Arabidopsis thaliana: one gene and its partner. The protein of the gene in region 1 interacts with the protein of each later gene in a pairwise test. Each region holds a gene or a part of one and is shown in the gene's direction. Other genes may lie near its edges.

Region 1 (3,381 bases):
TTAGAATCTCTCTCGGTTAGCCGACGCGGCCACCATTCTCTCTCTCTCTTCATCCATTCTCCACGCGTCGCGTTGACCACGTGGCACTATACATCTTTAAAACTCTTTCTATTTTATTTAAATAGCGAGTGCGTTGTGGGCCATCTTTGTTTTTCTTTGGCGGAGGGGCGGCTAAATAGCCTTTTGTTTTTATTTTAGTTTTATTCCGCGAAAGAAAAAGCAGTCAAACTCCAAGTTGAATTTGGAGCTGAGTCTACGAAGTCACGCATAACGCTCTTTCTTTCACGCGATCGCCGTCGGCACGTGTTTGGCGGTGAGATTCACGCTCGTACATGGAAACGCGGTTCCCAAGCCGCGCGTCCTCAAGGTGTTGCCACGTATTTTACATTTTTGCGTCATCCAATACTGTTCTTTGGTTTCTTCTTCTCTCTTCTTTTCAGGCGCCGCTGCTTAACTTATTTCCTAGTTTTTGAAGTTACTCTTGTCTTTAACTCACACTGCCATATAGTATGACTTTATTTACCTGTATTTTCAAATTTTTACACACATAACAGTATCTTTAGTTGTTTATTGGTCTTACAAAAAATTGGGTATTTTTTAAACCAAAAGTTTTGAGATACGAAAACAAAATTGATATGATCTGAAAAATTAGTTACTCACATATTTGTTCAAGTTTTTTTCTCAATTATGCAAGCATTAAGGTTGATCCAACAGGTTATGAGAAAACAAACTGAGTTCATTACAAGTGTACTCACTAGAGCAAGCTTGTGTAGTTATATCCTAAATCATGAGGGTAAATGGCACATGACAATTCGTAGTTAGATTAACTATATATATTAAATTAAGATGTGGGATTACATTCTTAATTCCCTCGGTTATGAAAATCAAAATCTTATCACCAGCATTCAAGGGAATACGCTGTGTAGACAAAACAGCAAACAACATGCATCTCCATTAAATGCGTCAAATACTGTACGGATTTCTTTAGTTTTTTTGTTACAAATTGTATCAAAAGTTTGTTAGTACATTGTACATACAGATAACAAATGAATTTCACTTTTTAGATAAAATAGTTTACACAAAAAAAAAAAAAAAAGACTTTGCATCCAATATTTTCCACCACAAAATAAATCATTCAAAATACGGATTGATTAAATATGTATCATAGTAAGATCTATATTTCAAAATTTATCCTTATTTCATTAAGAACTTTAATGCAAAGATTACATAGTCCAATTAATTTTCTCATTGCCAAATATTAATAATTAAATTAAAGATCCAGTGATAAAAAGTTTTATTTTAAAATTAAAGTCAATCAAATTAATGTATTTAATTTGTATCTATATTTTTGACAATGTATTCAACTTTTTAAATACATCAATAAATTCATTAATAAGATGATCAACAAAAATTGAAAACGCTTGGTGAGGTTAAAAAAGAAATGAAGGGTTGATAAGAAAAACAAAATTCTTTGAAAGAGGAAAGAAAAACACGTGGCAAAAGATAAGTGGAGGTAAAAAAGAAAACCATGAAAACCGCTGGTGTTTTGTAAGAGAAGCCGCTAAAACCATTTCAGGCTTTGACTGTTCACAACAAAGCGCCCCAAAAGGAGCGTCGCTTTTACTCTCTCTCCCATCCTATATATAAACAACTCTCTCCTTTCCTCTTCTCCCTTCAATTATCTATCACACCACCACTCTCTCTCTAATCTATCTATCCGAGAATGGCCAAGATGGGCTTGAAACCCGACCCGGCTACTACTAACCAGACCCACAATAATGCCAAGGAGATTCGTTACAGAGGCGTTAGGAAGCGTCCTTGGGGCCGTTATGCCGCCGAGATCCGAGATCCGGGCAAGAAAACCCGCGTCTGGCTTGGCACTTTCGATACGGCTGAAGAGGCGGCGCGTGCTTACGATACGGCGGCGCGTGATTTTCGTGGTGCTAAGGCTAAGACCAATTTCCCAACTTTTCTCGAGCTGAGTGACCAGAAGGTCCCTACCGGTTTCGCGCGTAGCCCTAGCCAGAGCAGCACGCTCGACTGTGCTTCTCCTCCGACGTTAGTTGTGCCTTCAGCGACGGCTGGGAATGTTCCCCCGCAGCTCGAGCTTAGTCTCGGCGGAGGAGGCGGCGGCTCGTGTTATCAGATCCCGATGTCGCGTCCTGTCTACTTTTTGGACCTGATGGGGATCGGTAACGTAGGTCGTGGTCAGCCTCCTCCTGTGACATCGGCGTTTAGATCGCCGGTGGTGCATGTTGCGACGAAGATGGCTTGTGGTGCCCAAAGCGACTCTGATTCGTCATCGGTCGTTGATTTCGAAGGTGGGATGGAGAAGAGATCTCAGCTGTTAGATCTAGATCTTAATTTGCCTCCTCCATCGGAACAGGCCTGAGCTTTTAACGGTGTCGTTTCAATTCGAAGCGCATGCGTTTCTTCTTCTTTTTGAGCTGTGAAAATTCGTTTTCTCATAGTTTTTCCTCTCTCTCTCTCTCAGTCTAAATTTATTACCAGTTTTTAGAAAGAAAAAACAGATTAAATCTGAGAGAGAAAAATATAATTTTAGCTGACATGGATCGTTATGTACATATTATTACATAACCGGAGATCTGAACTTTTGTTGTGTGCTTTTAATTTTTTGCGACTTGGTTTCACCCCATGTTGTTTCTCTATTTTTTTTACTACTTTTTTTTTTTTTGTTCTTCCAAATTTTCAATCAATAATTTGGTAATCTTCAGAATTATCTTGTCCAATCCAATTTCCGAAATTTTGATTATTACTACTTGTGGGTTGTGGCGGCTCCTTCTATTGGCTTTCCTTTTCTATCGTTACCACCAAATTAAAAAAATTGAAGGGACTAAAATTACTTATTTGACAAAACAAAATAATTGTAAGTTGAAGTATAAGAAAAACTAAAATTCAAAGTGAGATTAATAAAATGGTAGTTGAGTATCGTCGGCTTTTAACAATGGTCCAAGTTTCCAGCAGACACGCAGCCGGCGTGTGTGGGCCCTCGTTTTGCTCTCTGCGGCGTAAGTTAGAAAATTCTTTGCGCTTACGTCACTTAGTAGTAGGGTCCACTCACAGAGTACGGACATACTCATTTCTTTTCTTTCTAGCTAACTTGGAAGAGTCTTGAAGCTGAGAGTTAACACTCTTTAGGTCTGACAGAGAGAACCTAGATTTTTAATTTGATAGATTCTTAAATTTGGAAAAGAAACTGCCACAAAACAAAGATAAGATTTTGTTCAATTTTTTTTAAGAAAGATCTCTAGTTTCGTAAACAAATTTTTGTCGGCAAAAAATGGAAAAAGAGTACACAAAGTCTCTAAAGAAACAACTATGACTAGTCTAGATATTGGTTTTTTTTATCTGAAAGCTTTT
Region 2 (3,759 bases), on another chromosome or scaffold:
ATCTGAGTAAAACTTTTGCAGGCACGAGCAGTATGTGACACAGTACAGAGCAGTCTTTGTGGTCAATTGCAAAGTAGGTACAGACACAGTTTTGCAACAGAATACAATGCCCTTAAAGGTTGGTAAAAGAAGGAGAGATTCCGAGATGCAAGAAACTGGTTCTGAAGATAGCGAAAAAGTTAACCCGGTCTTTTGCTCAGCTTGTTCCACAGAGATCGGAGTAGTTGACAGTGAAGAGATCTACCATTTCTTTAATGTCATTCCAAGCGAGCCTTAAAACAACCTGGTTTTATGAGTTATTTGTAACGAGTTCTAAACAGGTGATTAGGATTAAAGTTTCGATTGTTTGCGTTAATCTTTACGTTGCATGTATATCGTTTGATAAAAATCAAGTCACTAGAGAATTTTGAGTTATACCAAAGTCAGAATCGTTCACAGTTCACATGATTAGTAATTTAGTATCAAACAAATACCAAATACAACAAACTACAAAGCGAGTTGGTCTCTGAACGTCTTTTAGTCACGCTAGTCAAATAGATGGCAGAAGATAAAGCGATCCTCTCAGTTTAAAAAAACGAGATGACGTGGATTATTCTGATTGGTGGAGTAAGCTAAGAAAATCTAGAGAGGCATCGCCAAATGAGAAAACTAGAAAAGAAGATATTTGTATGAAACACGAGTTGATTCTCTTTTGACAGAAGTGTCACTTTCTTGTATTTTCGTCCACCAACCCCCATACTAATAATTCTATACAAATTCCCATTAATAAATAAAGGCAGATGAGAATGGGCTCCAGCTGTTTAACACATTTGACAATTGTCAAATGATTCGTACACATATTACTATTTTAAAATAAAATAAAAAGATTAGAATATACTATAAGCATTTTTGGTAAATTGGTGATCATTAAAAATTTCTATGCATTTATCCAGCTAACCCCACAACTAATCATTCAAATCCCAGTTAATCACTCAATATAACTTTTAACATGCGCCGGTCATTAATAATTGTCAATTGTATCATACAATTTGTATGTAAGCTTTTGTGGCAACGTTTTCTTTTAAGAACTAGCTAGTTCAATTGAATCCTAGCAAGTAGCTACGAAATGTGACTAAAATTTCTCTACGAGTCTCTAGTTTGGTGGTTCCTCAGCTGTGCGTCGTAGTTTCAAGTTTTTACTATCTATCATACTTTAAGCATGCACAAAAATATTCTTTTCATCGCTTTTGATAGCACCTTCACGTATTATATCGACAACTTTAAGAAGTTGGCTTGGGTATAGTTTTTAAAAAAAGGCATTTAAACATCACTCATGGTTGTATCGTATGGGTACGGCAATCATCATAACAATTATTTCTGTTAAAGGATTTCACAATCATATAACAAATATTAAGACGATAATATAGTATAATGTGCATTATATATTCATCATGAAAGAAATTATTGTCGCGAAACAATTTAAAAAATCTCGACGCAACGACATATCAAAATCGGCATATCTGCCAGGTGGGCACGGCTACTTTTATTATGCCACGCTCCAAATGGAATGATTTGTTTTATTATTGCTTAATGGGTAATAAGAATTTTGATTATACAAATTGCACACACGAACGCATATCGTGTGGGGGTCACAGTGGTTGGGTTATACTCAGATTAGTAACCTGTGTCATAAAGCGCGTAATTGTCATTTCTTTTATTTGAGCTATTTATTTATCCTAGAAGTTAAATAAAAAATAAAAAATAAGAGACAATCACAAATTAGTAGATGTGAAATTATAAATGACTAAAAATAAATAAATTAAAATCGTACAAAATAGAATCGTAATCAGTGTAGGTGTAAAGTATACTCACCAATCAATTACCACCATTGATTGTCTCTTATTCCTCATCTTTTCAACTATTGTGGAAACTGGAAACAGCTTTTGTCTTAATTGCAATCTAATTTCCCTACATCCTATAAAATGCATTAAACTCATGAGGTAAACGTGTATGATTACTGTGGTTACAAAGCATAAAACATATACTACTTCATTCTAAAACAAATTTTATCGATAAGAAATAAAGGTAAAAATCAGCATTGTTGTGGTTACATGTCACAGAAGTAATAAGAATTAGTAAAAACCAAAATCGAATTCATATTATTCTTGTAACGCTACTTATTTTCTACGAATCCTAATTACTCGTAAATTAGCTAATGTAATTCAAGCAACCATATAAATGGGGACCCCAACTAACTCCTAAACCTAAAAACTTAAATTCTCCTGCCCGACCGTGGTCCAACGCTATAGTCAACACCGGAGTCAAGCGCGTGAGCTTCAACCGCGTCCGGACAAATTAAAAAAACCTAGCAGAAGTGAGCTGTGTGGGACCCCACCAGCCATGTGCTCTCCTTCCTGTCTCCACCAGCCTAGCTTCCTCTCAAATCATTACCTCCTTCTTCTTCTTCTTCTTCTTCTTCTCCTCGAGAGAGAGTTAGATAGTGATAACGAAATCCTAATTCCATGGCCGACAACGACGGAGCAGTGAGTAACGGCATCATAGTCGAGCAGACGTCAAACAAAGGACCTCTTAACGCCGTTAAGAAACCACCGTCTAAAGATCGACACAGCAAAGTTGACGGAAGAGGAAGAAGGATTCGTATGCCAATCATTTGCGCAGCTCGAGTTTTTCAATTGACCAGAGAGTTAGGTCACAAGTCCGATGGTCAAACCATAGAGTGGCTTCTCCGTCAAGCTGAGCCTTCTATCATAGCCGCCACTGGAACTGGCACTACTCCGGCGAGTTTCTCCACTGCTTCTCTCTCCACTTCTTCTCCGTTTACTCTCGGGAAACGTGTCGTCAGAGCGGAGGAAGGAGAATCCGGCGGCGGAGGAGGAGGAGGGTTAACAGTGGGACACACAATGGGGACTTCGTTAATGGGTGGTGGTGGTTCTGGTGGGTTTTGGGCTGTTCCGGCGAGGCCGGATTTCGGACAAGTCTGGAGCTTTGCAACCGGAGCTCCACCGGAAATGGTTTTTGCGCAGCAGCAGCAACCAGCTACACTCTTCGTCCGCCACCAGCAGCAACAGCAAGCTTCCGCCGCCGCAGCAGCTGCAATGGGTGAGGCTTCAGCAGCTAGAGTTGGGAATTATCTTCCGGGTCATCATCTCAATTTGCTTGCTTCTTTGTCTGGTGGAGCTAACGGGTCGGGTCGGAGGGAAGACGACCACGAACCACGTTGAGAAATGGTATTGTCTTTTTGGTAATGTATAGAAAAATTCCTATGTTTTATGTCATCGAAAGTGTTTAGAAAGTACCTCTAATTTGCGGTTTCTTTTGCTCCTTTTTTACTTAATTTAAGCTTATTGCTTGTTTGATTAGGGTTTTAGGGTTTAAGAATATTTGGTCTCGTTAATTTGTTTCGGAGAGTGATAGAAAGAGAGAGAGATTGATTGATTGTTGTACCTAAAACGCTATAAAAGCTCTGTTTTTACTAGCGAAACAGAGAAGTCGTTTAACTAGTGATCATTGCCATTCAATCAAGTCTCTTTAGAAAACTAAAGAAACAGCAAAAGAAACAAATTTGAAGTTGTCCCGTTAGTTTTAAGCATGAATTCTATTATGGTTCGTTCGTTAATGAAGTTGTCCCACTATTTACTCTTTCGTAGTAAAGGAAACAAATTTGAACTCGGGTTAACGGAGCCGGTCCGGATGATAATTCAGGTTCCACCAAAAACTTTTAAAACTAATAACAAGCCCATCCACTATCCAGAGCAGTAT

The links.
Region 2: the proteins of ERF4 (region 1) and TCP11 interact in binary tests that used the Arabidopsis thaliana proteins (3 or more experiments, as listed by UniProt).

Annotation. Positions count from the first base shown.
Region 1 is NC_003074.8:5,119,749-5,123,129, forward strand, and holds ERF4 (ethylene responsive element binding factor 4), read left to right. Parts: upstream 1-1,673; 5' UTR 1,674-1,723; coding exon 1,724-2,392; 3' UTR 2,393-2,814; downstream 2,815-3,381.
Region 2 is NC_003076.8:2,678,327-2,682,085, forward strand, and holds TCP11 (TCP family transcription factor), read left to right. Parts: upstream 1-2,074; 5' UTR 2,075-2,501; coding exon 2,502-3,221; 3' UTR 3,222-3,667; downstream 3,668-3,759. Other genes in the region: AT5G08320 (E2F-associated phosphoprotein), read left to right, coding at 22-277. UniProt on the Arabidopsis thaliana protein: Transcription factor involved in the regulation of the circadian clock. Acts as a repressor of CCA1 by binding to its promoter. No binding to the LHY promoter.